Linked DNA regions of Drosophila melanogaster. The protein of the gene in region 1 interacts with the protein of each later gene in a pairwise test. Each region holds a gene or a part of one and is shown in the gene's direction. Other genes may lie near its edges. The genes, in order: CG31142, CG31493 and CG13175.

Region 1 (9,968 bases):
GACGCTACTGCCCAACCCGCTACCGGTGGCTCCTGCACTACGGTCCACGCAAGGTGCTCTTTCTGTTCGCCCACCTTCTGGTCGGTCTGCTGACCGCCTGGCTCTACACGGGCTATCTGCACACAGACTATCAGTAAGTATACCTACAGTTGGTTTGAATTCGGTCAATACCTATGATTCCTTTTATTTCCAGACACCTGAAATATAAGTGCTATGGCCAGGATTGCATTAGTGCTTACAATGTCTATCTATTAGGCATCGGTATGACCGCCGGCTGCTACTACTTTGTCTCCGTTCACATGCGCAAGGAGATCTCCATTGAATTTCCCATTGTGGAGCAATCGCGGGCGGAGAAGATGCGAGAGCTGCTCTACGCCAGTTTGGCCAAATCTCTATTAAGTTCGCTGCTGCCTACGATCAGTTACACCGCCGTATTTTGTCTTTTCGGACCCATGGTATGCCACAGACTTAGTCACATTCTCTCTGTGGACATGGACGAGCGACTGGATGGATTCTTCGGAGTTGTTACCAATGTGCGCCTGCTTTTTTACGGCTATTTGCTGACCGCACAGATTTTGAGCAACATGCACCTAATGCGTTGCTTTTACGGCATTCTGCTCTCGGAGGATTTGCCACTGGTGGTGACTAAACCGCGAGCTGCTTTTGCCCATGAACAGGATATAACCTTGGTAGCGGGTCTCGGAGTTTTCAATGTGTATGTAGTGCAGTGCCTTGCTGCTCATCATTTCTACAAGCTGGCGTTGCGAAAGAACTCGCCACAACGGGCAGAGATATTCCAGCTGACTGAGCCGGGTAACCGGCCAGCAAGTTGGCGCTCCCTCTGCGACCAATGCTTGAGCATTCTCGGCAGCTTTACCGAAGAACTAACCGAGTCGATGCAGAAGATAAGTATACTCAAGTGCGCCCAGAGTCTGCCGATGCCGAAGATAACCGAATCGCTTACAACTAGCTTGATGGCCGAGAAGGTGTTGCTGCGGCAATACAACCAGAAACACGGCATTCGACCCATTGTATCGCCCAGTCGCGAGGTTGCTGTTGAAAGTCCAGCGGATGGCATCCGTCATTTTCCCAACTGGTGTGAGCGTGTATCCACGCAGTTGGAGCAGTCCCTACAACGGTTGCTACAGCGCGTTCCCGGCATTGTGTACTTATTCAACGAACCCGAAGGTGCCAAGACGACGTTTCTGCTGGCCAACTCCCTGCCCGTAGTGTATATGACTCAGGCTCTGGCTCAGGTGTGCGCAGCCTCGCTCAAAGAGGATCCATATGGAGTAGTGCAGAACGATTTGCCTGCTATCATCAAGGCGATCAACAAGCTGCGAAATGAGCTAGATAAGCTAAGTAGCGTGATAGGCAACATAAGGATATCCAGCTCTAGCTTTAACGTGCTTCGATGCGCAGTGCGACGCAGTCTGTACGCCATCTGTTTGTCGTTTTGCGACTATCTGGACGATCTGCTACCCCCTGGAGAGGAACTGCGCCAGCTGCAGGACCTCGTCTGCCAGGAGTAAACCCATCCATCACTTTATACACTCATCTTGTACACTGTTTTGCATCTCTTTAGTTGTTTGTCTGCGGTAACAATAAAAATTAATAAATATAACTACAAACGTCCAATAGTTATAGAATACTATTGACTTTTATACTTAAAGTACGAAATGGTAACACGCGATTTGATCATAACTAGCACTGATGAAATGGTCTGCAGGTTGAATGTGTACAAGCGGGCGGCCTTACTGTTCCTCCATCGCCACTGCCATCATGAGCAGGGCCAGATCCTGCTCTAGCTGCCGCTTTGGTCAAAGGTCGGCTGCTTTTGTAGGCAGTGAGCTGGCAACGGCAACGGTGGCTGCCTCTCCCAGAGACTGCTCCAGCTGCACGGCCACCTCATCCAGGTGCTGGAGAGCCTCCTTGGCCTTGCGGTTGCGTCCGTCCACGAAGATCTGCGTGTCCAGGAAGTGCAGGGCGCGGAAGGCCATACCGCCTTGCGGGTCATATAAGCTGTCGAACTTTTTCGGATTCCTGGCGCTGGCACTCTGGTCCGGCGTGTCGGGATCGAAGGGCACGTATTCCTGAATCGGCTCCTTGTGCCACCGGAAAATGTTTCGCGAATCTGTAAGGAGTTGGTATATGATTACGTGATACTTGATTTCGGTTGAAAGGAAATGGAACCTAGATCAGCCAGCACTCGCGTCATTTCTCGTATCTGGGCATCCTGTCGCTCCAGCCGAAAGTTCATCTCCGTCAGCATATTGGTTAGTTCCATCTTCTCCGATTGCGCCAACTCGTTTTTCTTGTTCTCCTTGATGGTTTGACTGGAAAGTGGTTGGATCAATATAGCTCTGGAATGGCTTTGGATCTCTGTTTACCAACCGTGAGTACTCGAAAATCAAAAGACCGGCTCCGATCGAGAAGATGATGAACTCGCCAAGCAGATTGGCTCCCAGCTCAATGGCCATCGCCTCGTTCAGCGGTGGAACATTAACGCGACCACCCATGTTCAGGGCCCACATCTTGGTCTTCACCTCTACCCAGTTGTAGACTGAAAATGTGGGATTAGAGCCCGTAATCTCATCTAATCACATCGCACCACTTACACTGTGCGGGCGGCATGCATATGTACTTCCTGAAGAAGGGGCTCGATTTGGCATTGGACTTAATCACGTTGGCTATCGGCTTGCTGACCTGCTTGATGGCCAAAATGCCGAGCTTGGCCGCCGGGAAGACGCCAATAACCATTGTTTTACTTTACTAATTTTTTACTAATAACTATTACAAAATATTCATGCAAAATTAGAGATGTGTTTTAGGTAGCGGTGTGCGCAGGGATGCACGATAGTGATGACAATTTGAAACTGGAAATATAACCGTAAATAATAGGCAACTTTCGATAGGACGAACTTGAAAATTACTCATTTATTTATTACATAATAAAATTATACAAAAATAAATCCTTATTTTTCAACGTTTTTTAGAGCTGCCTTAATCCAGTTGATTTCCCTTTGGTTCCGTTCCACATCTGCACTGATACAGTCCACGCACTCATCTAGAACTCTTTTTTGATCCTCAATTTCCTGGTTCTGTTTTTTGGTTTTTGTATATGTTCTATAAAAACAAATAATTGTATAGGAATACAAATTATTAAGACATTTGTAATAGTTCACACTTTGAAAGCTCATAGTATATGAGACCCGCGCCGATGCCAAACACAAAAGCCTCACTCAGCATATCAGCGCCCAATCTGGTGGCGACCGGAGTGGAGAGGGGTGGAATCCGCCTGGGCTGCTTTAATCGAAGCATACGAAGCTTGGAACGGACCTCAAAGGTGTTGTAGAGCTGGGCAGGCGGAATGATGATGTAGCGCCGTATAAAGGGATGATGCTTGCCCATCCAAATCAGAAGGTCTCCGAATGGCTTGCTAATCCGTTTCACGCCATGAATGAAAATTTTTCCAACTGGAAAACTACCAATCACCATTGTGCGTTACATAAAATTTAGCACGAATATACTGGCGACTGAGATTTCCAGGCCAATTCAGTTACATTCCAAATCCCCTGTATTGCAATATGCCGTATAGGTTTCCCTACTTCCCAGCTTGCTCCTCAGCTGATTGATTTCCTTGGTCTGGCGGGCGACCTTGTTGGTGAGGTTACCAATTCTTTCCTCCAGCTTCTCCCGATGCATCTTGTGTTTTTCGTGCTTCAACCTGTCATTCTTGGCTTGCCTAAAAGCATATTTGAAATAAGCCAAGATTTCTTCAAGATAATCGAGGCTTGCATACCTTTTGAACTCGCCTACAATCAGCGTGGCGCCAATAATGAAGATGACCATTTCGCCCAGGATATCACCGCCCATTTGGATAGTCATCGCGTCAGTGAGGGGCGGAATTAGACGAGGTTGTCCAAGTCCCAGCATCCACATCTTGGAGCGCACATCAATTACGTGGTATACTGAACATTATACTGGTTATGATGATAACTGGTGGGCATTCCACGGATTGTACTCACATCTCGCCGGAGGAGCAACAACCAGGGTTTTGAATGACTTATTCTTTTTGGCCGTTTGCTTGATCAGATTGCCAATGGGCTTGCTAATGTGCTTAATGGCAAGTAAAGCTAGTTTCGCCAGTGGAAAGACGCCCACAACCATTGTGCAATTTCTAAGTTTCGACAGAATTCCCTAAGTGCCCTACAACCGAAAATTTTCAAATTTCATATAATCAGTTTTTCAAATTATTTCTAAACTCAATTTCTGAGTCGCAATAACTTTAAGTCTGTGGATATCCAAACCCAGCAATTTAAAACATGTACTCTTTTTAAACTTCTTGTTCTTATTTAATAACTAACAGATTCTTGAAAGATGTTTAGACAGTTTAGTTTATGAATCGGTAATATTTGGCATATAAAACCCGGTCACACCTGTTACTAAAACGCTGGTTTTGTTTGTTATTAAATCTTTACCTCTGCATGCTTTAATATTCTTCCTAAAAAATAATGTCGGCACTTGGGGATTCTGATGATGAAACTGAGTTTAAAGAGATCAGCTCGACTAATTATCATCGTGTGCAGGAAAAGGTGGCAAAGGTAAGTTTAAAATGAATTTGGCGTGGCCAGCTTTCATGATGAAATCAGCTGGCTTTACATTGCCGAGTAAACACGACTTCTAAATACCCTTTCCCTATCAAGATAAGCTATGCAGATGGCGTTGCCGATGGCAGGGAAAAGGTCTTCCAAGAGAGCTTCGATGAAGGCTTTGAGAATGGCTTTAAAACTGGATTCGAACTGGCCAAACTGAGTGCCTTCTATGAAACCATAAGCAATGCGGCGGGAGCTGAAAGCTCCGAATGGAATGCAGAACGAGAAGCTTATCAAAAACTCCAACTGGCAGATGCAACAAATAAAGCACACTTCACATATTTGGAGCATCAAGGCGCTCCACTCAACGTTATATCCGAAAAACAAAAGACCTACGTGGACGACCTCCTAGGAAAACTGGCACAGCAACTCCCGGCAACTACGAATTTATTCACATCGGGGAGCGATTCTAGTGTTAATGTGGTTTAATGCATGTGTTTGGGAATTATCAAAATTAACTTGAAAGTATATCTTCGCGCGACTTATAAATAAAGACCCTCGGGCGTGCCCTCCTTCTTCCGGTACAAGACGCTCTCCTTTGACTTCTTGAAGTCCTCGTTGGTCACCTTCATGCGGCGTTCCCGCAGCGCCATCAAGCCAGCCTCTGTACAGATGGCCTTGATGTCGGCGCCGGATAGATCGTCCTTTGCCATGATCAGTTCGCTAAGGTTCACGTCCTCGGCCAGCGTCATGCGAGATGTGTGGATGGTAAAGATGCGGCGCTTGGTCTTCTCATCGGGCAGCGGGAACTCGATCTTGCGGTCAATACGACCGGGTCGAATGAGCGCCGGGTCAAGGGTCTCGATACGATTGGTGGCCATGATCACCTTGACATCGCCGCGCGAATCGAAACCATCCAACTGATTCAGTAACTCCAACATAGTACGCTGAATCTCCCGCTCGCCACCAGAATTTGAATCGTAGCGCTTTGTGCCCACTGCATCGATTTCGTCGATGAACACAATGGATGGAGCGTGCTCCTCAGCCACACGGAAGAGCTCACGAACTAGCTTGGGTCCGTCGCCCAGGTACTTCTGGATCAGCTCTGAGCCTACAACGCGCAGGAAAGTGGCCGAGGTCTGGTTGGCCACTGCCTTGGCTAGCAGGGTCTTGCCCGTACCAGGAGGCCCATATAGGATGACGCCCTTGGGTGGCTTGATTCCCATTTCCTCGTAGTACTCGGGATGGGTCAGTGGCAGCTCAACAGACTCCTTGATCTCCTGGATCTGAGTGTCTAAGCCACCGATATCTGCGTAAGTCTCTTGCGGAGCCTTTTCCAGTTTCATCACCGTGACCATTGGATCGGTGTCGTCGCTGAGAACTCCGACTACAGCGTGTACTTTGTGGTTGAGCAGCACGGAGCAGCCTGGTTCCAGCTGATCCTTGTCCACGAAGGACAGGATGCTAACATAGTGCTCGGAGCCCACCGATGTGGACACGATGGCGTGGTTGTCGTCGATGATCTCCTCCAGGTTGCCCACGGACATGGGGGTGCCGCGCAGATCGTCAACCTTAGAGCGCTCCTCCTCGTTCTTCTCGTCCTGGGGCTTCAGGCGCTCCTGGTTGCGGATGAACTCGTCCTCCATCATCAGGTAATCCTTGATGCGCTCCAGCTTGAGCAGCTTAAGGCGGCAGCGGGTGTGGGGCGTGACCTGGGGCAGCTTCATGGCCGCATCTGGACCCTTTGCGCGCCTCTTCTTCTTGCCAACGCGCGTTGGGATTGGAGGCTCGTACTTCTTCTTTTTATCCTTGTCATCTTTCTTTTCGCCAGCTCCCCCTTGAGCCGATTGGTTTTGTCCCTGCAAATGTATTGTTCCCGATCGTAAATGAGTTCAGGGTGTTCTGAAGGTGCTATTTTACCATTTTGTCTTGGTGCTTGCTGCTTTGCCGAACGTTTGATGAACTTTTTACTCTTTATTGTCGGCAACAAAATTACTAGTCATTCGCGTTAGCTGTGTTGCCGTACTATGGAAACATGAAGGTCTGGCAACTCTAAGGGTGAACAAATATTTTAAAAAAACGTGAAAATTAAAATAGGCAAGAAATGCTTAAGCAATCGGATTAAAACAATAGTAATGATTAACAACCAAAATATAAATGAATTCAAGACTTGAAAAAAGCAAATTTTAAAAGTCACTGTTTTATATACTTATCGATTACTGTAAACAAACTGAATGTTTCAGTCTGGCAACGTTTGCAATTAGTGCGAAAAGAGCATTTGTTTAAATTTGTTATATTGCGACCTTTTAATGGATCAAAATGTCAAGAATGTTGATCTTAAACTGGATAACATTGAGGTTCTGACCAGTGGGACAACAGCGGAGTTCGTGAATGGCATCCTGGACTTCTTGCTCTATCAACGCCGGCAAATCCCCTTCGTGTACAAAACATACAAATATTATGTGGATAAATGGTCAGATGCTGATGAATCGGGAGAATCCAAGGATCAGGAGTCCTTTGCTCATTACCAACGCAACCAGCAGCGCTCTAAGGCAAAGGCCACCAAGGAATCTATTAGTGACATGAGAGAGGTGAGGTTCCCCTTACATCCAGGACTTCTTTTGGTCTTTACTTGCCAGTTCTCTCCTACAGATCATCCGACAAGCCTTCAGGAGCTCTGAAGTGAAGAGCCTGCGATTTCTTTTTGGCAACAATATGTTCATGCCCTCGGAGGCCTATACTCTGCACATACCACATGATTCCATATCCAGAGATCACTATTGCGAGCACCATGCTCTGCCCGAAGGTCGCATCAACCAGGCGCTGCTCCGCCTGCTCACCTGCGAGGAGCTGTACAGGCTATTCTCCACCGAACTAAAAGTCACCAACGTGTTTCTAGAAATGGAGCTCCTTACAGACTCCGATCGACCCCAAGGATCCCATTGTGACTCCTTTAATCTAATCCCAAAGCATATATTAAGCCAACTTCCGCGCAGCTGCAAGAACATACACCTGCATCTACTGCATTGCAGTGAAAACACACCGAATGAATTACGCTGCTGCAAGGAGATGGATATTTACCACGATCTTGGCGTGCGGAATCTGGATAAATCTGGGGAAGACGTTAGCCAGACCAACGAAGAGCATGACGTTTTGAAAGCAGCAAATGAAACCAGCGGTTGGTGGCAGGCCGAGGTCATAGTTCGCGGTTTCAGAGCTCCTGGCAACCAAAAATCGGGAGATTTGTGGTCTAGCTAACATTTTATAACTTGGATTCTTGCTATTCGGCGTGTTTGTGTCAAAAATAAAGTTTCGAATCGTTTATATTTCAAGTATTAAGTTATTTTATTATGTATATAATTGTTTAATTTTATTTTTGGTTTCGATTTATTGAGAATGTTTTGAAAACCCAAGGCACTCAAAGATGATCCATCGTGGTATTGGTATTATCATCTTAGGTAGTGATAATCATGGAAACTGGTGCACTGCGCTCTCGCTGCTTGGCCACAATCTTGTTGGCTATGCGATCCAAGTTACGTTGTCCTTGCGGAGTCAGCTTACGACCACCATCCGGGTGCCTCTCCACCATGTTAGCAGCTTCCAAGGCTTGAAGAGCCTGCTCATGTGTTAGATACATGCTAAGTAATATTAAATATAACCTTAAAGTACAACCATTTCCCACTCACCTTGCGAATACAGCCATCCGATGAGCGACAGTGCTTGGACGGACGAACACCGTTGCGCTTGCGCCCGCTATAGACCTTGGTGAAGGCCCCAACGCCGGCGGGACTGCGCAGGTACAGGTGTCTCATAATAGAGGCGCAGCGAGTGTAGAACCAGTCGTCGTCGGTAGGAGCAGTCTCCTTGAACTTGCCAGTCTTCATATAGACGGCCTGTTCGGGCACAAAAATTTTTCCGGATTTTTTGAGAAAAGCAGCCATGTTTTTGGTCAGAACGTGCTGATCGATTTCCTTTACTGTGACTCCAGGCATGTTGCTCTCTACGTTCTTGAAAGCACGTTTTTAAGGCTCATGGGTCCGATATATGTATGTATGTATTTAAAAAAGTCTTACCTTTTGAGAAGAAAAAGGTTTGCTTCCGGTTAGTTTGCTGACTTTAGTCAAAATGGACGATTGGCAAGTGACGTTTGAAAGAGGGACCAGGTCATTGACCCCAAAGGATTACTTTCCGATAGTTTTGTCGTGCAGTATTGGTGAACTTGGCAATTCTTTTCGAAAACTTAACCTATAAACTTGGAAAGGAACGCAATGTAGCAAAACTACTGTTCTTGGTGACAGGGGGTTTAAGGTAGACTAACAAGGACAATTTTATGACACTGAAGCCCTATGGAGTAAGAATCAAAGAACTGCTGTATTTTGGTTTGTATAAATGAATAAAACGTTCTACGCTAATTGAAGAGCATTCGAAGAGGTTTGAATACAGCGCCATAGGGTGACCAGCTTGTGGAGCATTGAAGGTATTTCTTGTTTTAAGAATGATCACGGGATGGTCACACTAGAAATACAGCCAAACAAAACAACAAAAAGCATTTCGAGCGCTAACAAATATATATCTTTCGACTTGACTCATTCGCATTCCGGTTGACCGTGTCGCGCCTGCAGCATGTCTGAAAAGCCGACTGTTCTGATTTTGGGTGGTAAGTGGTCCCGCTGCATCCTCCTCATCGTCATCCTGCCCCCGCTCCCCACTCCACACTTCCGCTTATCAGCATCGCTGACTGCATCGCTGCTCTTCCTCTTCCCGCAGGCTGCGGCTTCATTGGACGCAACTTGGCCACTTATCTGCTGGACAATGAACTGGCGCAGGAAATACGACTGGCCGATAAGACCCCTCCGCAGATGGCATGGCTAAACGAGGAGCAGACGCGGGTCTTCGAGAGCGATCGGGTGGAGTTCTGCAGCGCGAACCTAATAAACGCCGGTAGGTAATCACTACATTAGGGTGGCTCGTTCCACCAGGATGCGGATCACAACTCCTATGGAGATCCAAAATCCGCAATTAACATTCTTGTGAAAGGAAAGCGCTATCGGATATAGAATTTTCAAGTACCACCTTGGTATCGCTGCGCGTAACGAGCCACCCTAATGCATTTGTTGCACCTAAACTGGTTATAGAACGCTTCCCTTTGTTTTCATACAGCCTCATGCAAGGCGGCTTTTGCGCCACACCCCACCACTGGACGGGCCTGGGACATTGTCATCAATTGTGCGGCCGAGACGCGTGCCAACCAGGATGATGCCGTATACAAGGAGGGTATCCTGAAGCTCAGTTTGAACTGCGCCAATGAGGCGGCTAACCAGCGGGTCAAACGATACGTGGAACTCAGCTCTGGTTGTGTGAACAGCAGCGAAA
Region 2 (9,875 bases), about 17 Mb from region 1:
GCATTCAAATATATATGAATACATATACAAATATACATTATATATGGCTCTCAAATAAACGCATAAAATCTGCATTTATACAAAAATTAAAAGGGCTTGTCGTATTTGGATACTTATTTTAGGATTCCTTTTTTTTTTATTACAAAGTGATTTAGAAGCGAAATGAATTGATAATTTAAATTGAAAAATGACAAGATAATTATTTTATTTAGCCCCACTCTAAACATGTATTTACAAAAATGGTCAGCCTGATCTGATTCAATCAATTCCCAATATCGTCAGAGTTAGAAATTATTCAGATACAGCGAGATACAAATTCATTTTCACATTAATTGACCTATTCGTGTTTTTAGACGGATTCTACAACCAAATTGGTCTTAAAAATAGTGCTATCATTGTGCAAGGCCTCTAGTTTTGTAATTTCAAATGACTGGTAAATCTCGCGGAAGTCCATAATGTTTCGTGGGTCGCTCTCCATCCAAAAGCGGTCAAACTCGAAGAACAGATAGCAGTACAACTTGTGGAAATCCTCCACGGTGCTAAAGTCCTGTCTGTGCTGCACCACCAAATTGTAGAAGTGGGTTTTGGCGGCGCCCGTTTTCACTAGATTGAAGGCCATGGAGGTGAGGTTAATGCCGACAATGGCGTAGGTGTAACCCAGGGTGGGATGCATCGAGTGCAGCAGGACATGTTTGGCGGCGTCGTTATAGGCAGTTGCAAAGTAGAGAAGGTTCTCTAGCCCGAGCATGCCCATTCCCCGAAAGTCCGTCTTCGGATCGTCGCCCTGGAAGCCGATGTCCTGCCACTGTTTGGTCACGCGACCGGTGAGGGGAGTGTCTGGCATCAGCAGTTGCCACAATCGCAACAGCTTTTGCTCGTGGTCGAGGTTATCCGAGTCGTATTTCTCCGCCCGCAGCTGTTCCACCTGATGCATCAGTCTGCGGTAGCCCCAGATACTCGTCACGCATGTGCCGAAGAGCCGAGCAAAATCCGGGTGGACATTGTTCTTGATGCGTTTCGCCTGCATCACAATGCGAGCAGCGCGAGGAGCTGAAAGTATTGGGTAATGATTAATAATATTTAACTTAGTGTAAGCTTGTAATGATTATGGTGCTTTGTGCACAGAGATTATACTATTCCTTGGACTAACCGAAATCCAGCAGCTCCGCGTTGCTCACATATGGCGCCGCCTCATCAAGGTCAAGTACAAGTCGTCGTATCTGCGGCCTTTTGGACAATGTGAGGGACCTTTCCACCTGGCTGGTTCGGCTGGCTCCGGCCTTCGCTCCATAGCAAATCCTCTGGAGCTCCGAGAGCCTGGTGAAGGCGTGCAGGAACCACTTTATAAAGGGCCTTATATAGCTAAAAATAAAAGGCAGTATTCGGTCGAGAATAAACATTTTACTAAGGCGGCGAAGAGAACTAATTAGATTTCCCGATTTCGTTTGTTTGCGCCCGGTTGCCAGGGCAACACATCAGGATTGGCTTTTGATCACAGCCTTATGTTTCTATCTACTATATTGCACTTTTGAGAGTTGTCTTTAGAAAGCTTTTATGATTGACTCGCAACAATAACAAATCCAATGTATTATTAAAAAAAACCAAACAGCTGATCAGGCAGTGTTGTAAATAGCGGAAATATGGACGGCATTTGAGGTATTCTTGATAACATTCTGAAGTTTTCTTTACTTTAAAGAGGCACTTTAATTATGCCTTAATTCTAATCGTTTTACATATAGTTCTATAATTGAAAATAGATTTTCGAAAAGGATGGAGTCCCCCTCACATGCTTCTGCAACTATTTACTTAACATTCTGCTCAACAAACGGTCACACTGCTGTTATAATCCTAATTGCTTACTAAGAACTTAATAGTGTAAGCAAACTCTGTTTGTTCGTATTTATATTCATAAATTTGACAGAATTGGACGGATTGATTGAAACTCCAATTACGTTCTTCGCCCCGATATTGATTTTGATATATTTGATATATTGAGTTTTCTGAACTTTTCTGGTATTGTTAAAATTTTTCCTGTTTCCAGCCAACTGACGGCTCAACCAACTGATTCTCCAGGACCTCAAATACTTTCCATCAGTAGCATGCGACACATGATGAGTCCTGCTGAACCGGGAGGCTGGTCACCTCAACTATTTCGACTAAAGAACTTGGAACAAATAGAGAAGATGGAAGAGGAAATGAATGATCCCATCAAATCATTGATTTAAGTAAATTTAAACATTCAGTTTGAGCATTCTTTATAAAGTGTTTTCTATTACCTAGATTCAAACCATGCGAAACATTTTGAAACCCGGTGGTTCGGTGGGTCACCCCGACCTGGAGGTTTCAAAAAACAATTTCATCTTATACTCGCCCTAGACTTTTTGGTTGATTTCAATTTTGACGGCATCCACAATAAAATACATCTCAAGGAGTTTGGAAATTTCAACAACGCTTTGTTTATAGCACATACATATACATATATGACTTCTTTTTTAAATTAAAATTCATTAAATTTCAGAAGCTCAAAAGCAGGTAGAATATTTTAGAGATGACTACGTCGCTGAAATCAGACTGGCGTTCCGAGTTTACAAAAATCTCAGGCATAAAAGTGCATCAGATACTCGGAAAAAAATTAAAGAAGCCACAGTCCTCATGGAGCCCGAGGTAAAATTGGAAAAGGCTTTGTATACAGAATGATATAAGAGTACCGATAACTTTTTATTTATACAAGCGAATTTATAGTTAAAAGAGTTGTGGGTAAATAAACAAATTTGTAAATAAGGTCTTTTATTTGTTTATCAAGCTTAAAGCGTGCAATTGCAATGTTACGATTGTACAACTAAGACTAAATGCGCGTTGCATATCTCTGATTATTTTAAAGTGCTCTATTAAGTTCGCTTCGTTGACGGTATCATCTAAAAACTCGCGTGCCCATGCGATTAGATTAGATGGCGTCTATGTGCTAGGTTTTTAAAGCTTCCATTTAAAAATATATGTTGCCTAGTCGTAAACCTGTATCGCTCAGTTAGTGACCACCACTGGACGCGGTTGCTTCTATACTTTGCTAGCTAGCTGGCTGACCGATAAGGCATTGAGAATGCGGATGGAAAACGGAAGACTCTGGGGAACGTTGCACGACGGTGAGTGTCTTGCATACAAATAAATATCCACCACTTAAGTTTTTGTATATCTTTATTTGCAGGCAAATTTGAGGTGCGCAGTGTCACTCACTCCGACCTGGAAGAGGCGCTAGATGTGAGTATGATTCCGAGGGACTCCCATAATCATGCCTATCAGCCATAAAAAAGTTATTTCTGGGATAAAGACGATCAAGAACTAAGCTTAAAGTTCAAACAATTTATATTGCTTGTGTAGTGCAAATTTGATCATCGTTAATTCATCAGAAGCACAAAACTAATTTTGTGCGTCAAACTCGACGTGGCGTCGGTGGTGTAATGGTTAGCATAGTTGCCTTCCAAGCAGTTGACCCGGGTTCGATTCCCGGCCGACGCAGTTCACTTTTTGTATTTTTTTCAATTCTTTACGGCATATTAATTTTTTATTTTGTGAAATGAGAAAGTAACTTAAGATTTAAGGAGGGCTAAGAAATCGAACATTATATATATGTATTCACAGATATATATTAGTAAAACCAACATAAAAAGCATGTTGTTTATATATTGAAATCTAGTTCCGCAGCTCTTCAAGAAATGATTTGTTTAGAACTTTTTTATAATTGTGCATTTTACAGGTTCTTGACGGCTCATTCTTTCTCAACGAATCTGTGTGTGTTGCCTGTGAAATTAATTTGCCGGAAAATCGGCAAGCTCGTTTGGACTTGCGAGAGTTGTGCAGAAAAACCGCTCTGGATGGTGTCTCATTGTTGGTTAAAGAGGCGGATACGGGTCGCGTAGTGTCCGTGTCGTTTAATAAAATTCAGGTAAGATTCGATTTTTATTTAAACAATATTAATCCTAATGTGTCGAAAACACAGTATGCACCACCACCTGGCGAGGATCACTTCTTTTTAAAATTCCGGAACGAGGAAGTTAAAAGTCCTCAGGCAAGGCGTCTAATGGACTTTATGATCGAAGTGGATGGAAGAATTGATGTGTGTGCCATGTTCAACATGGTGTGCTTCTGTGAACTGATGTTTCTGGCCACTTTACCGAGCCACGAGCGATTGGGATTGGGTCGATCGTTGTCCCAGTTCACAATTGAACTGACCAAGGAGCTGGCCGAAGGAAAGGGCCTGGAGGATATCGATGATAAACTAAGATCAAAACGCCCAGCTGCCGTCACCGCACTCTGGACCTCTAGATTCTCTCAAAAGGTTGGAAAAGCAACAGACTTTAAAGTGATCAACACCGTTTCTTATTCGGAATTTGAGTACAAAGGGAAGAGATTTGACGAGCGAATTAACCTTATTCACAAGTTTTGCGAACATGTCATCTATAAATTTTAAAATACAAAAGTAAATGTTTGTAAAAAATTTATTTGTAAATTTTTGTAAAAATTCGGCTGTGCGTCGGCCGGGAATCGAACCCGGGTCAACTGCTTGGAAGGCAACTATGCTAACCATTACACCACCGACGCCATGCGAAGCTAATGTGATGTTTTCTTTCTTGTCTGGTGCACATCCCATACGTAATTTCTCGTTTGATTTGATATGTCTCGTATCGATAGTAGTTACTATCGGTATGCGGTCACACTCAAAATTTCAGTTAAATTTGAATTGCTGAGAGGGAAACCAAGTAAAGATAGTTATTAATAAACTTTCTTTTGAAATGCTTTGTATCGTTATGCTCCGATTCTCTCTTAAAGCTTAAGCGTAAAATGTTGTTCTTTATGTAGCAGAAAGTTTTGTAAAAAGGTTTTTATCTTAATTCGCTATTTGCCAAGTCTTGCAAAATTTTAAATTATTTTTAAATGAATGTTGTTTGTTTCGGCAGTTGAAATTGGTAATCAATGCTATTCTTCAACTGCTACAAATAGTAGCTTTTTGATACGTTGTATCTACTAAAACTTCGTTACGAATATATTTGACGCTAAGGAAATTGCAATTTTCCACATTAATAGGGGGATTTATATTGTATATGGTATTTAGATATACGTTTATTAAACAGCAAGCTGTACGTTGTACTAGATTATATTAGCAGTCCGAATAAATTAAACTTTAATCGGGCTAAAAAATTAAGCGAATACGATTATAGAAATTAATCGTCATTCTTCGTTCGTTTGGAATTCGGGCGATGAAGGACTGCGTCGAAATTTTCGAAGGGGAGTTTGAGGTCCTTCGTGTAACTCCACCGCTTTATGATGAAGTTGAAGAGGTATGCATCTGTTCAGGGTTAAATCTTTACGCTTAATAATAATACGCTTATAATATTGTACTGATCGCAGCTGCTTGTGAACATTTCGATCAATTATGAGTTCGGATGTGTGATCGCTAAACTTAAAGACTCTCCGTTGGCCATTGCCGAGCTAGGTAAACTAATAAGGCACATCATATCCCGAGGAATATCATTCGCTATACGACACGTGGAAAGTGGCAGAATTGTGGCTGCAATCGCTAATATAATATTTGTAGGTACCAATTGTATATTTGGCTTTAATCGTTTATATTTTTTTAGTGCACCCAAACCAGAATACAAAGAGGAAAACCTCATACTACGACATTTGCGCCCAGATCAAGAGTCCAAACATGATAAAGTACATGGAACTTTGGGATGCTGTCGATGCGAGCTTTAATGTCAACGAGCACTGCCAGGTGGACAGCACGGGAGATGTGGAATACATGGCCACTTTGCCGGAGTTCAGACGACGTGGCCTGGGCCACATCTTATGCCAGCAGTCCATCCAGTTCGCAAGTCTCTTGGCCCAGCGGAAGCTTCCTCTTGAGATACTCAACCAGCTGCCTGAGGAGATGCGGATTGAAAGACCGCAGGCCATTGTCGCAATAACTACATCCCAATCCTCGCAAATAATGGGCAGACAATTGGGAATGAAAACTATGCATAAGTGGCATTTTTCCGAGCTGAGGTCCTTGTGCGGAGCGATGGCGGAGTCCAATGGCGCAGCCCAGGCCTTTGAATATGCAGAACTGCAAGTAGTAAAGTTTTGATGGAAACCTAACGCGCATTCTGACTAGATTCATAGATTAGTTAGTAAAAGAAGATAGTAACGCAAAAGTTCTTAAAAAACGGCATTTAATTTTTATAATTACGAAAAAGCTCATTCTTATATTATTGGAAATAAAACTAAAATCCAACGAAAGAAACACCTTTTAACAGTATAATTTAATTTGTTATGCTTAATTAAGTATGTTGCTATCATCTTAGGTACATTTAACACTGTATCAGCATTTTGGATGACGAGTTATACCATCTACGGGTAACACCAGTTTATAGGATGAATTTTTAAATTACCTGTAAATCAGGTACTGACTCTATTATCAAGCAGTGCGGAATTCCTATGCTTTATTGTCAATCTGAAGGATTCGCCAGAAACGATCAAATTACTCCGGACTTTAATAAGGCATACAGCTGCCCTGGCCATCATTATAATTACTCGGTTATAACAGCAGATTCCCTTTACTTCAGTATTATGTCCCAATTCAAAAGTCTAAAAATGGTTAGAATTTAGAGATGAAGTAAGTCCTTTTTGGTACTTTGACCATGTTTATATCGGAAGCCTAAACGGTTAATTTTATCCTGAGATGTTCGCCCAACTGCCCAATAAGCTTGTAGATCTGGTACCATATATACGATGCTCACATCCTTATTACATGTAAGATATGATAGGTCTTCAAGTGGCTCATCGGTGGATAAAGTTCGAGTTGACACACTGAGTAGGTATTAAATTAATTTAAATTCATCTCCATTTTCTAAAAAAAAAAACAAGTATTACCTAACGAATAGGTAATTTTAGACAAAATCTAGTCTTGGTAAATATGTATGTGTTAGCAGTTATCTGTTTAACAATCATCGTGCGAAAATGTTCACGTGCGCATACAAAATACATAGAAGAAATATATAAACATTTTCATAATTATCAAACATGCTTCCAATCAATGAATATAAGCAAGTTTTCTTTGGAATCCCTTATAACATTTACATTTTTTCAAGGGAATAAGTGGACGGATTAAAAATGCACTTGTTCCATTGAAGATTTAGGAAAATTCAGGCCACACAAGAACGTTGTTTGAGCTGTCAGTGAATCCAAAATGGTCTCAGCCCATATGGGTCGTTAAAAATAAAATTGAATAACTTTTCAGGACGTTTGAAAAGTTTTAATCCTTGCAAAATCCACTCAGTGCTCAACGCACCCCTTTTTAAATGTCTGTCCTCAGTGCTGATGTCAATTTTTGCACTTTCGAACGAACTTCTCAAATGAGATTAAAATTTACACAATTCAGGACTCGGCGAGGCGTGCACTCGAAGGGATTTCCCTGAGTTTCCCTAATGCCCGGTGTCAATACAGCGAATGGACTTGGATGGACTGCAGGCCAGATTTGCTGGGTGAGCAGTGTGATAAGCATTTCGATCCTACTTTGGCTTCACCTCAACAATGCACTGGGGTTTTTAATTAGAATTCGAATAACAAAAAATGGAAAGTACCTAGCCAACAGAGGAGGGGAGAGGCCAAGGGCAAATACCCTTGCGGCAGGGCAATTGCGTGTAATGATATCGCAGATCGCACAGGATATACAGGATATGCGTATATAGGGTTGTCTGCCAAAGAGGCGGTTACGCTTGATTGTGCTATATGACGTGTGCATAATTCGCCGAGTGCCGACCAGTTCGGCTAATTTCAGTTTGGTTTTTAAATTACAGACAGTATGTTTAATAATAATATAGAACCTGCTATAGCGGCCAAGAGTGTGAGAATTGAAATAACGAATTCTGAAAACGATACAACGTTGTTATTTCAAAACTGGTACATTTTCATTATAAGAGCCGTATTAACTAAAAATAAATAATAATGATTAACAATTTTTTTTTAATTATTGTTCTTTTTATATATTCTATAAGTTTTCTTTACCATGCTGTGTGACTTAATGCGTTTATTATATAGTGAGGTATTTGTATTTGTATGTGGGAATAATGGAAAACATTGTTGCAGCGAAGGACATGAAAAATCGAAACTTTAATTGTTGCCAATTTGTAAAATAATGTGGTGTTTAACGAATGGAAAACCGATAATAATTCAACTATCGCGGCCTGTGATCTGCTGTAAAAACCTAAAAGCTTTCATCCCACAAATCGACCCAGCGAAACAACTTGATAAAATTGAAAACTAATTTGTTTATACAGCTGCACAAAACGAGCAGCGCCGGCAACGATAACAACGCTGAAACAAAGGCGAAGGATTGGGGGTAGGCGGCAGGCTCCTGGCGAAGGCAAAACAATTTGTTTATCATGGTAGCCTTAGTGAGGTTGTCTGATGATGAGGCAACAACACATAGGACAGGCGCAGGAAAAAGGACAACAAACAAACAGAGTTTCAGGACGAGGAGAAGCAGGACGAGGATGAGCACGGCAACGCATCAGGGGATGGCAGCGTACTCGGGAATACACAGAAAAAATAAATTCAATGGTTTAGTGAGCCGGTACCCTACAATTTTAAGAAAACAATGTTTGTTAAAACTAATTGCGTTTAAAAGGCAAATGCGTCTTAGTATCAAAGACTGTTCAAAGCAAACGAAGAACGCAACGGTTGATTCCATCGACTATCAGATACCCGTTAATTACCACGAGATCGCAACTTTCATACGGAGGGACCGATATACGGACAGACAGACAGGCATAGCGTGACCAACTCGTTTAAGGATCCTAATTAAGATTACTAGATGAAGACTCCAAATAATTAAAAAAAAATTTTTTAAAGCCACAAAATATTATAAAACCTTTAAAATATATCAACAGGAAAACATATAAAATTTAAAAAACATTTTTGTATCCATTGACGTACATTTTCTTCGTCGAGTGTATAATATTTTGACACCCTTGTCTCTGGTGAGCCCCGAAAAATATGCAGTACATAGTGCAATCGGCTTTTAATGGAGTTGTTTCAAAAAAAAAAAAAAGGCAATGAGGAAATCCTAGACAGTGCAAATATTTGAATTTGGGCTCTGCTAATGCTTAAAAATTATGCTGGTTGACAAATTCCGCCGGCAGTTCCTTATGGGGCAAACTATTCAGTGTACTTTTTACCATGTATGCTGAGCTCCTCTTGGTTGAAACAAATCATTAATTAGACTTAGGAGTGGTACCAAGTAATCCAAGCCATGGGAACAGCGCACAAGCGTGATCATTATTCCCGCACATCACTGCGGAACTTGTGCAGCTGCCAGCCCAACCCCTTTTAGTGCACCTCCGCCTCCCGGGGAAACACTTGTCTACTACATCAAACATCAACACCTTCCATTGTCAAGCACTTGGGCAATAATTCCGCTTAAACAGATAAACGAGCGCTCGAATCAAAAAACAATTGAATGCGCTCACAATGTGAATGTGGTATAGAGCACGGCCTGAAAATCAAAGTCTCCACCTCACCCCAGCCTGTGGACAAACTTAATAAGCTTATCACACCCCGAAATGCAACCCTGCGCGGCAAAAACTTTCACCTCGCCGAGCTCTGTGATTGGTGGAAGCTTGGAAACTTCGGCGCCGCCCCTTTGGCTGTATCTTTTGATGTGGCACCGCCATTGCAGGATAGCACACTTCCACCCCTCGGCGCACCATTCTTATCAGACAGGTCCTGTGGAAGTTCCAGGCTCAGGCATTCGCTTCCCGGCAGTCAGAGAGTTCGCAACACGGCGCGTTTCGATGTTAGAGTGCGCGGCATCGTTGCATCTATAAGGATTACTGGGG
Region 3 (10,322 bases), on another chromosome or scaffold:
AGCCGATCCGTGTCCTTAACTGCTTTATTAACAGTAATAGTTTTGGGAGACACCGCAGTTTATCTGAGGGTTAGTTTATCTGAAGGTTAGTTTGTTTCCTGGTGGTTTGTTTATCTGGTTAGCTTATCTGGGGTCTAGTTTACCTGAATGATAATTTACGTGGGAGTTAGTGTAACTGAGGGTTCAGTTGACTGGTGTTTCGTTTAGCTAGGGGTTAGTTAATCTGAGGTTTCGTAATTTTAAAAGAAATCCATTTAATTATTACTTTGAACCAAATCATTTTTAACATCTTGTAAAGCTTTTAGAGTTGGTCACACTACCATGAACAGCAGTAAAATTGCAAATAAATATGTAATTATTTGGCGATAGAAAAATGGAGGAGTCACCTTACCTGCACAGCCCCTACCAGGTGGCCATTATAGCCACCGACCTGCACCACGAGGATACCATAATCCAAGCAGCCCAGTCCCTGGACTGTCTACACAAAACCATAAACTCGATTTTCGAGCGAATCGATGCCCGCTTGGCGAGAAATGGTTCAAAGGTTGAGGACATAAACAATCGTGTGAAGCGCGCTCAGGCAAAAATCGATGCGCTCGTTGGCTCCAAGCGGGCCATCCAGATCTTTGCACCCGCCCGCTTTCCGGCCAGCGACGTCCTGGCACCGCTGCCAGCCACCTTTCCACAGGTGGCAGCCAATCCCCTAATGGAGCAGCAAGTGGACCAGCTCCCGCAAGGGACGTACAGCAGTCACAGTGCCGCGGACCAGAAGCCGGATGATGCGGACATCTTTTTCCATGTACGTGGCGATCGGGAGCAGGAATCGCCACTGGTCGCCGAACGGAAGATAACCAATCGGACCGCTGGCCTGGGCATCCTGCCTGCGGGTGGAGTGCGCTCCGTACCCTCGCTCATGCGATTCAATACCAATGAGTTCGCCTACGGCGAGGATCTGAATGCCTGGAAGCGATCCCTACCGCCGCAAAATGCTCGACGCGTTGCCAGTCAGTCCACTCAACTCACGGGAGAAAAGCAGCTCGCTCCGGCACCTCATTCGCTGGCCCACGGCACCACCAAACTGGCCACTCCAGCTGGGGACCTGCGCTACAATCCTGCTGCTTTGGCTGCACCCGCCATTGATGTTCCGCTGGACCTGCCCGACCTACCGGGCATAGCGAATGATCTGCAATATGAGCCAGTGGAGGAGCAAACACCAATAGCGCCTTCCCAGCAGTTCGGTGATTTACCAGAGCTGCCGGATTTGGGCCTCGAGGAGCAGGATATAATAGTGCAAGCCATCGCGGCACAGACGCACATTCCGGGACCGGTGCGTAGGAAGAGTGTGGGACAATGTCCTTCGCCAGTTACGGCGGCACCACCGCCTCCTCCTCCGCCACCACCGCCGCCTCCACCTCCTCCACCAGCGCAGACGAGCGCAATTCCATCACCGCCACCCTTTCCCACCAAAGGAGCTGTGAAACCGCTCTCCCCGTCGTTAGCAACACCTCTTAACATGCCGCAGCCGCCTCCAGCTACTGAAGATCCGCGATCTGAGCTTATGGCCGCCATAAGAAACGCCGGTGGAGTGCATGGCGGTCGTCTGCGGTCGCCTGCGGCTGCGCCGCTCGACGTGGTGGACAACAGTCGCTCCAAGGCGGGAGGCGCTGTCACGGGGGATTTGATGGCAGACCTGCATAACAAGCTAATGCTGCGACGCAAGGGAATTTCTGGGAGCCAGAATCCCGTGGAGGCCACTGCTGGCAATCCCCTGATGCAGCAGCTCTCCCGCGTCATACCGCCGCCGGTGCAGCCCCGCAAGGGATCTAAGTCGAGTGACGAACACTCCGAGGACGACGAGGATGGGTGGAACTAGTGAATATTTAGCTTTAGTACCGGTTTAAGTGCCTTGGCTGGCTTAAAGCACTAGCAACCTAGGTTCTCTAGCTTAAAGCATACAAATTTCTAAAACGAATTCCAAATTCTGTGCCCAAGCGAGCATGCCAAATTAGGTCAAAGTCAACCAGTTGAATAAAACTACATATTAGCAGAAATGTGTGTAATTTCTTATTGAGAACATTGGCTAACTTTAATTGATAAAATTACAGGACAATGAAACATTTTGTGATGCTAAATGAAATAAAACAATTCTTTATACTGACTAAAATAAACTCGATATTAAATTATAATAAAACACTAAATTCTAGTTTTAGATAACAGCTATTTTCCTATTTGAAATAAACGAATTTCCCTGTTAAATCCTTAACAGCGCTGTTGTGTTGCTCTCTGCCAGTGCTGTAAAATGCCGCAGTGGAATCACATTTCGGGTAAAAACAAATTGAAATATCCACCGAATTTAAATATTAAAGTTAGAGAAGCTGCCAAATATCTGGAGTTACAATCAGGGACAAGGACAAGGACTACTACACTAGAGGAGAGCTTTTACAAGCAATCCGGTGAAACCACATATAATGACAAGTCCGTCGCGGGATATAAACGATCTTTTTGACGATATTGTCCTGACCGAGGAGAAGGAGGCACGTTTGGGCTACGAGGAGGGACTGAAGGACGGCCAGGAGCAGGGCAACGAAGAGGGCTATAAATTGGGCTACGCCCAGGGAGTATCCCTAGGCGAGGAGCTCGGCAAGATTCTGGGCCAGGTGGTGGCCCAGCAGCAGCTGAAACACACGGACAAGGTGCGTCGCAGCTTGGAACAGTTGCGTTCGCTCATCGAGGAGTTTCCCCGCACCAACGATCCGCAGGCGGACATAGTGGGTGCTGTGCAGGACATTCGCTCCTCCCATCGTCGCCTTCGCGCCCAGCTGGGATCCAAAAAAACGCCTGGTGCAGCGCCTGCAGAGACCAATTCTGTCGAGCACAAGGACTACAGCTTCTAGCCTTATAGCACCATGTCCAAGGTGGGAGTTGTGCAGTTGCAGAGGCGTCTGGATGGCTTACTGGCCTTCCTCAATCCGCACTGGGATTTTGTCAATTGCCACATGGTGAACTACTTGACGGACCAGCACTGGGACGGCTTTTTATCCGAAACGCTGAAAAGTGAGATCGCCGGCAAGGAAGATGTGGCTCTGGCCATAGAAGACCTATTTTGGAAAACTGATGAATCAGAAAGGTTTCCGGCATGGCGAGAATTCCTAGGCAAGAGCAAACAAGAACGCCTGTCGCTTCAGAGGGTCAGGGGAACTCCACGCAGCTAAGCATTCGGGAGTTTATGAGCGCCAAAAAGTGCCATGAGGTAAGTAAACCAACCATTTTAAATGAGAGTATTTTAGGAATTGATTAATCTCTCCGATTAGGTGGATCTAACAGCCGTTCTCGTGGACCAGCTTGTGAAGAACTCCGGTCAAGATTGCTTCATTGTAGACGCGGGCGATGGCAAAGGGTATTTATCCTCGCGCTTGGCGCTCCAGTATGGTCACCGCGTGCTCGGCATCGATGCGAACGCGGCAAACACCGAGAACGCATTGAATAGGAATCGCAAATTGCAGGTAGGCCGGGCTTACAAAATAAAGTTAGCTTTATTTCATTACGTTTGTAGACTTAGAAGTAAGGTGTGGGTGTATGTAGGTGAATCCATTGGCTAGTCGCGCATTTCGCCCTCCTCGTCGTCGTCCTCCATGCCCTTGATATACAGCACGTTGTTGCAGCGGATGAGCACCTCGCCAAGATTACCAGTCACGGAGCCCTCGATCACTTCCTCCGTGTTCGCCAGCTGCATGTTCATGTAGCCGTCGACGGAGACCAGGAAGCCCTTGTACTCCTGGCCCCACTTCAGCTTCACCAGCACCGGTTTTCCCGTCAGGCCGTTCAGGAAGGGCTTGGGGTTAATGGGCATACCAGCCGACATTCTGTTTATTTGATTTTTCCTGCCTTTTTTATAAAATATTACAACAAGCGTGCCGAAAATCGCCGGCTTTTCGCGTTTTTTTTGTGTAGTGTGACCACAGCTGCGCTGTGTAAACATACCAGAACAAGAAGAAGAATAGCATAGAAGAAGAGTATTGAAAAACCATTCAAAAGCGCCAAAATTAAAATTTTATTTAATTTCAGCGCGCTTGGAATGGCCTTACGGAACGAGCGGAGCTGCAAGTCCAGGGAATCACGCCCAAGAGACGTGGTAAAAAGTCGCCAGCCAGGGAGAGCACCAAGAGTGCGCCTGCCTTGGAAAACTACAAGACAACGGCAAAGTTTATAACCACCGAACTTAACTTTGGTGCCCTGCTGGCGGAGAATTTCACTCAGTTTAGACCGGAAGACAGTCCAAACATTTGCCTTACTGGATTGCATACCTGTGGCAACCTGGCCGCCACCTGTCTTCAGGTTTTCCACGCCCAAACGGACTGCCGGTTGCTTTGTAATGTTGGCTGCTGCTATCATTTGCTGCGGGAGCGCTATTCGCAGCAGGAGTTCTTTGGCAATAAGTCCCTGATGGAGCTGCAAACAGACTATGGATTCCCATTGAGTCAGTACCTGCGGGAGCGACAAGTGCGAATGGGTCGCAATGCGCGGATGCTGGCGGCCCAGTCAATTGAACGCACCTTGGACACCAAGGAGCTGCCTAATGTAACGCTCTACTATCGAGCTCTCTTGGAGATTCTGGTTTGCCGCCATGCGCCGGAGCTGAAAAACGAACTGCAGGTGGGCAAGGTACGGAAATTCGAGAGTTTCGAGGAGTACATTCAAAAGTGTGCCACCAAATTGGATGCTCCCTGGTTGGCAGCTGTTGAGAAAGAAGAACTTCAATCCCTGCTCCAGGAATATGCCGTGCATAAATACTTCTTGGATCTGTTCTATCTGCTGCGCATGTCCTTTGCTCCGGTGCTGGAGAGTCTAATTCTCCTGGATCGCCTGCTCTACCTCAAGGAACTTGGCTATGAACGCAGCTATCTGATAGATTTATTTGATCCCGTCATTTCGCCCAGGCATTTTGCAATTGTTTCTATAAAGCAGCAAACGCAACAATAATGAAATTCACAAATGCATCAAAAGCTTGACGAGAAAGCCGGTTGTGTTTAATTATTTATAGATTATAGCGTGCAATACTTTTCATATCGTATATGTATTGCGTTAACGCTTTTAAAAATCTAACTAAACCATAGCACACAAAAAGTAAATAAGGTTGTTAAAACTAAGAATCATTATAATAAATGTAATCATGACTTGTAATTATCTTAGAGTCCCTCTGGATTTGCTGTGGTTTGTTTGTCGTATTTTAAAGCTTTTTCCACCACACAGGTGAATTTATAAGTATGCACTTGAAATTGCTATCTCAGAACTTTTGAGACTTTCGAGTATAAAAACGCAAACAACATTTCAAATCGCCCCAAGTGCGGTGCGTAGAGCTTTAATTGTCGGTTGTGTACGCGGGTGCTCAGAATTTATAGATCCAATAAAAGTTTCCTTGAAATTGCTGGACAAACTTGTTGCGAATTAGGCCAGTTGCAAATAAATTGTGTGACTAAAAAAACCTGTATATTTTCAAAGTAAGTTATGAAATTCGGTATACAAAATTGTATATTTTAATTTGAAAAAGTGTGATATCCTTGAAAAAACCACACTTAATATGGAATTGAGGGCAACTGTGAAAATTAAGATTACTTGGTTACTGTTACTGTTACTAAAATAAATAGAGAACTGGTTTCTAAGAAATATATTTTGGACATTTGCTCTATAGAAATAGTAGTCTCATGTATAATTAATAAAGCTTAGGACGAAATCCTTGCTGGCAAATTTTTAGTGTCATATTTGCTGCCCGAAAAGATTTTCTATTTAGCTTTACAAGCAGCTTAATTGGGTGTAGATATGGCGGGAATTACTATAAGCGTATCATAAACACTCATTGTAATGCTCCCTATCATAACTAATTGTAATTCGCGTTGGAATGGAAAAGATAATGCCAGCTAAAAATAATTAAGACGGCTGATTTAATAAAATCTAGGTAAACATGGGTAGCAAAACACTCTAGATTGCATTTGAAACCATCGACCGTTTCAAATGCGATCGAGATAAGATAATGCTGAGGGCACTGGCATTTGATTAATTGTTTTAGCGATTAATTTCAGAGTGGCGATACCCATTACATCGACATCCCCAAAATGGTGTTGACCGAGGTCCTCTTTGTGGTGGTCGCCGCACTGGTGGCGCTCTACACTTGGTTCCAGCGCAACCATAGCTACTGGCAACGCAAGGGCATACCCTATATTCCGCCCACGCCGATCATTGGCAACACCAAGGTGGTCTTCAAGATGGAGAACTCCTTTGGGATGCACCTATCGGAGATATACAATGATCCGCGGCTGAAGGACGAGGCTGTGGTGGGCATCTACTCCATGAACAAGCCCGGCTTGATAATACGCGACATAGAGCTGATCAAATCCATTCTGATCAAGGACTTCAATCGGTTCCACAACCGATACGCCCGCTGCGATCCCCATGGCGATCCATTGGGCTATAATAACCTGTTCTTCGTCAGGGATGCCCATTGGAAGGGAATTCGCACCAAGCTGACTCCCGTTTTCACCAGCGGCAAGGTCAAGCAGATGTACACCCTTATGCAGGAGGTAAGGATTTGTGTTGAAACTTATTTATCCTTATGAGGGATTTAACATACATATATGCTGTGCAGATTGGAAAGGATCTGGAGCTGGCACTGCAGAGGCGTGGAGAGAAGAACTCTGGGAGTTTCATTACGGAGATTAAGGAGATCTGCGCTCAGTTCTCCACGGACAGCATAGCCACGATTGCATTTGGCATTCGTGCTAACAGCCTAGAGAATCCCAACGCAGAGTTCCGTAACTATGGACGCAAGATGTTCACCTTCACCGTAGCGCGTGCCAAGGACTTCTTTGTGGCCTTCTTCCTGCCCAAGCTGGTGTCGCTGATGCGCATCCAGTTCTTCACGGCGGACTTTTCCCACTTTATGCGCAGCACCATTGGTCACGTTATGGAGGAGCGAGAGCGATCGGGCCTGCTCCGCAATGATCTCATAGATGTCTTGGTGAGTCTGCGCAAAGAGGCGGCTGCCGAGCCTTCGAAGCCTCACTATGCCAAGAACCAGGACTTCCTGGTGGCTCAGGCGGGCGTGTTTTTTACGGCGGGTTTCGAGACCTCCTCCTCGACCATGTCTTTTGCCCTGTACGAGATGGCCAAGCATCCAGAGATGCAGAAACGCCTGCGCGACGAGATCAACGAAGCTTTGGTGGAGGGCGGTGGGTCATTGAGCTACGAGAAAATCCAGTCCCTGGAGTATCTGGCCATGGTGGTGGACGAGGTGCTGCGCATGTATCCGGTGCTGCCGTTCCTGGACCGCGAGTACGAGAGCGTGGAGGGACAGCCAGACTTGAGCCTGAAGCCGTTCTACGACTACACTCTCGAGAACGGAACCCCTGTGTTCATACCCATCTATGCACTGCATCATGATCCAAAGGTATTCCATCACATTGAGAAGTTCATAAGCCCCCTCCTCTAACTATCTGGTTATTCCTAGTACTGGACCAATCCCAGCCAATTCGATCCGGAGCGTTTCTCACCCGCGAACCGCAAGAACATAGTGGCCATGGCATATCAACCCTTCGGATCTGGGCCGCACAACTGCATTGGCAGCCGGATTGGCCTGCTACAGAGCAAACTGGGACTGGTCAGCCTGCTGAAGAATCACTCAGTGCGCAACTGCGAGGCCACCATGAAGGACATGAAATTCGATCCCAAGGGTTTCGTGCTCCAGGCAGATGGTGGCATACATTTGGAGATAGTCAACGATCGCCTCTACGATCAGAGCGCTCCATCGCTCCAATGAATTTGAATCGCATGAACTGTGTGATCTGTATGGATACACATATGGATACATATATGTACATATATGGAATAAGTGATTAGTTGATGGGGCAATCGCCTTCTGACAGCTGGCATTTGCCTGACTTATGATGCAGATTATATAATGATAATCCGTGTGTTAGAAGCGGCGCCTAGAGTCTACTAAATAAAAACAAAATCATTATCAAATTACATTTAATCTGCGTGCTGAGCAGCTAGCAGCTACTCAATTGCGCCACCAATAAATAAATGCAATAAATGCTATCTTTACGATTATAAATCCAGTTCAAAGGCATCTCCCAAATGTAACAAATAACCCAATAGCTCTCATCTGTGGAATAAGTAGAGTCTATACAGATACGCTTGGATCTTGGAGATGTATTATATATGTATGGATAGTATTGCATTCACTATTCACCGGCGATGGAACACGCAATTTGCCAATCAAATTGCCTTTAAGATGCGACACCAGCTCAATTTTAAATCCCCAAACACGCGACTCCGCTGCTTAGTTTCCATTCAGTTGTTGTAGGCTCCATAGTCTCACCACCCAGGAAAGAAGTATCCAGATTATCCCATATCCCATATTCAGGTGAGTTAGACGCCCAAAGCATCGCGAACCAGCCGTAGGTGGATGCCGCCCTTGGCTTGGGTTATGATGGCCTTGGGATCCAGCTGCATGCGATGGGGTGTGCGCTCCGAGGTGGTTATCATGTGGTTGCGCAGCAGGTTAACCAGACCCACCTTCGCCTGGAGATATCCAAAACGTTCTCCGATGCAGCCATGCGGACCCAGGCCGAAGGGCATGTAGGTGTAGGGCGTGTGGAGCTTGCGATTCTCGGGCGAGAATCTTTCAGGCAGAAATTTTCGCGGTTGAGGAAAGTACTGGAAAAGGGTAGTCGTTGGGTAATGTATGCAAAATGTATCTCAACCCACCTGGGGATCCATGTGCAGGGCATAGCAGGGTATATAAACGGGCATGCCCTTGGGCACCACGAACTTTTTGTGGAACGGAGCCAGCGAGTAATCCCTCCCAGAAGTGCACTCGCGATCCAAAAACGGCAGTGGCGGATACATGCGCAGCACCTCCAGCAGAATCATTTGCATGAACTCCAGTGACTCGATCATCTTCAGCGTCACCTGACCTCCACTTTCGACCAGTGCATCCTTGATCTCCTCCCGCAGGCGCTGCTGTACGTCCGTATCCTTGGCCAACTCGTACATCGCGAACGCCATGGTCGAGGAGGAGGACTCAAAGCCGGCGGTGAAGAAGAGTACCGCCTGGGCGACCAGGATGTCGCCCTCGAACACAAATTGATCCTTGATACCCGATGCCTTCGCCAGCTGCGTGCTCCTACGGAACTCAATGAGAATGTCGATGAGATCGTTGCGCTTCTGTCCGGATTTTTCCCGCTCCGACATCACATAGTTGATGGTCTTGCGCAGAAAACGAGTGGCCTCCGCCGGCACCACCTTGAATCTAACGAACGGGACCAGGTGGGGCAGGAAAAACACTAGAGTGAACTCCGCGGCACGCAGCAGGTTGAACTCGAACACAGAACGTCCATGGCGGCGGAACTCGCACTTCGGATCCGTGAAACTGTTGGCACTCACTCCGTACGCTACCGTGGCTATCACATCCGTGGTGTAGAGAGCACACAGCTCCTTGGCCTCCAAGTCGAAGCAGCGCATCCGCTCGTTGTGCAGCGGCTGCTGGCGGAGATGGGCATCCAAGCTGGCGCCCACCTCCTCGATCAGGGGAAACATCTGCTTCAGTCGATTGCCGGTGAAGAAGGGCGATAGCTTCAAACGTACCTCCTTCCAGGCGGGATTCTTCAGGAAGAATATGTTCTGGGATCCCAAAGGGTCGCCCTTGGGGTCGGAGCTCGAGTACCGGTTGGAGAAGCCAGCGAAGTCCTTGACCAGGATATTTCTCACCATTTCGGGGTCTCTCAAAAGCAGCGCCGGCTTGTGGAACACATGGATGCCCACGAAGGGTTCGTTCTCCGCATCGGGATGGTTATACAATTGCGATATGAACTCCGCGGGACTCATTCGCATGTTGAGCAGTCCCATCAGGTTGCCCACTATCCATTTGGGCCTGATTTCGCGTACTCCCATTCGCCGCCAATAGGAGTAATGCTGCTGCAGCGCCAGAAAGGCAATCCCTATTAGGGATGCCACGAGGATCAGCAGTACCAGTTCCATGCTAACGCCACCAAACCCAATGTCCAACTGGCTGAAATATTGCCAGCACCATAGAGTTAAAGCTTTGGGTAAGCGGAAACTCTACTATGAGATCATCAAGATGATCCTGAGTGCAATGAATGAATCTATTTGTGAATGGAAGTGCTTGTCGAGATGTTAAGTGGGTCAGGTTCAACTTATGCATATGGAAATGCATTTCTTGACGGTCGTGAACAAGGTCTCCTCCTCATTCAAAAGAACGACTTTTTGGATCTTAGCTATCTTTACCTAATGCTGGTATATATTTC

The links.
Region 2: the proteins of CG31142 (region 1) and CG31493 interact in a two-hybrid assay, tested with the Drosophila melanogaster proteins (one large-scale study listed by BioGRID).
Region 3: the proteins of CG31142 (region 1) and CG13175 interact in a two-hybrid assay, tested with the Drosophila melanogaster proteins (one large-scale study listed by BioGRID).

The regions. Positions count from the first base shown.
Region 1 is NT_033777.3:23,924,809-23,934,776, forward strand, and holds CG31142 (uncharacterized protein), read left to right. Parts: upstream 1-4,434; 5' UTR 4,435-4,514; coding exon 4,515-4,604; intron 4,605-4,706; coding exon 4,707-5,084; 3' UTR 5,085-5,137; downstream 5,138-9,968. Other genes in the region: Ndc1 (nuclear division cycle 1), read left to right, coding at 1-133, 194-1,532; CG13601 (uncharacterized protein), read right to left, coding at 1,821-2,134, 2,194-2,336, 2,395-2,563, 2,619-2,760; CG43998 (uncharacterized protein), read right to left, coding at 2,976-3,126, 3,188-3,498; CG43999 (uncharacterized protein), read right to left, coding at 3,556-3,745, 3,803-3,971, 4,029-4,170; Rpt2 (regulatory particle triple-A ATPase 2), read right to left, coding at 5,138-6,454, 6,516-6,518; CG13599 (uncharacterized protein), read left to right, coding at 6,905-7,186, 7,248-7,853; RpS19b (ribosomal protein S19b), read right to left, coding at 8,050-8,211, 8,282-8,587; CG5854 (uncharacterized protein), read left to right, coding at 9,219-9,252, 9,363-9,536, 9,756-9,968.
Region 2 is NT_033777.3:7,126,423-7,136,297, forward strand, and holds CG31493 (uncharacterized protein), read left to right. Parts: upstream 1-5,137; 5' UTR 5,138-5,252; coding exon 5,253-5,333; intron 5,334-5,403; coding exon 5,404-5,586; intron 5,587-5,633; coding exon of another isoform or gene 5,634-5,647; coding exon 5,648-6,124; 3' UTR 6,125-6,273; downstream 6,274-9,875. Other genes in the region: CG10068 (uncharacterized protein), read right to left, coding at 350-1,050, 1,151-1,400; CG31248 (uncharacterized protein), read left to right, coding at 3,098-3,140, 3,203-3,255, 3,752-3,940, 3,995-4,465.
Region 3 is NT_033778.4:12,180,328-12,190,649, forward strand, and holds CG13175 (uncharacterized protein), read left to right. Parts: upstream 1-2,311; 5' UTR 2,312-2,468; coding exon 2,469-2,894; 3' UTR 2,895-2,906; coding exon of another isoform or gene 2,907-3,250; intron 3,251-3,311; coding exon of another isoform or gene 3,312-3,503; intron 3,504-3,516; exon of another isoform or gene 3,517-3,595; coding exon of another isoform or gene 3,596-3,862; exon of another isoform or gene 3,863-3,983; intron 3,984-4,065; coding exon of another isoform or gene 4,066-4,980; 3' UTR 4,981-5,179; downstream 5,180-10,322. Other genes in the region: wash (washout), read left to right, coding at 374-1,873; small ribonucleoprotein particle protein SmF, read right to left, coding at 3,596-3,862; Cyp6g1 (cytochrome P450 6g1), read left to right, coding at 6,111-6,575, 6,641-7,441, 7,502-7,810; Cyp6g2 (cytochrome P450 6g2), read right to left, coding at 8,425-8,712, 8,764-10,035.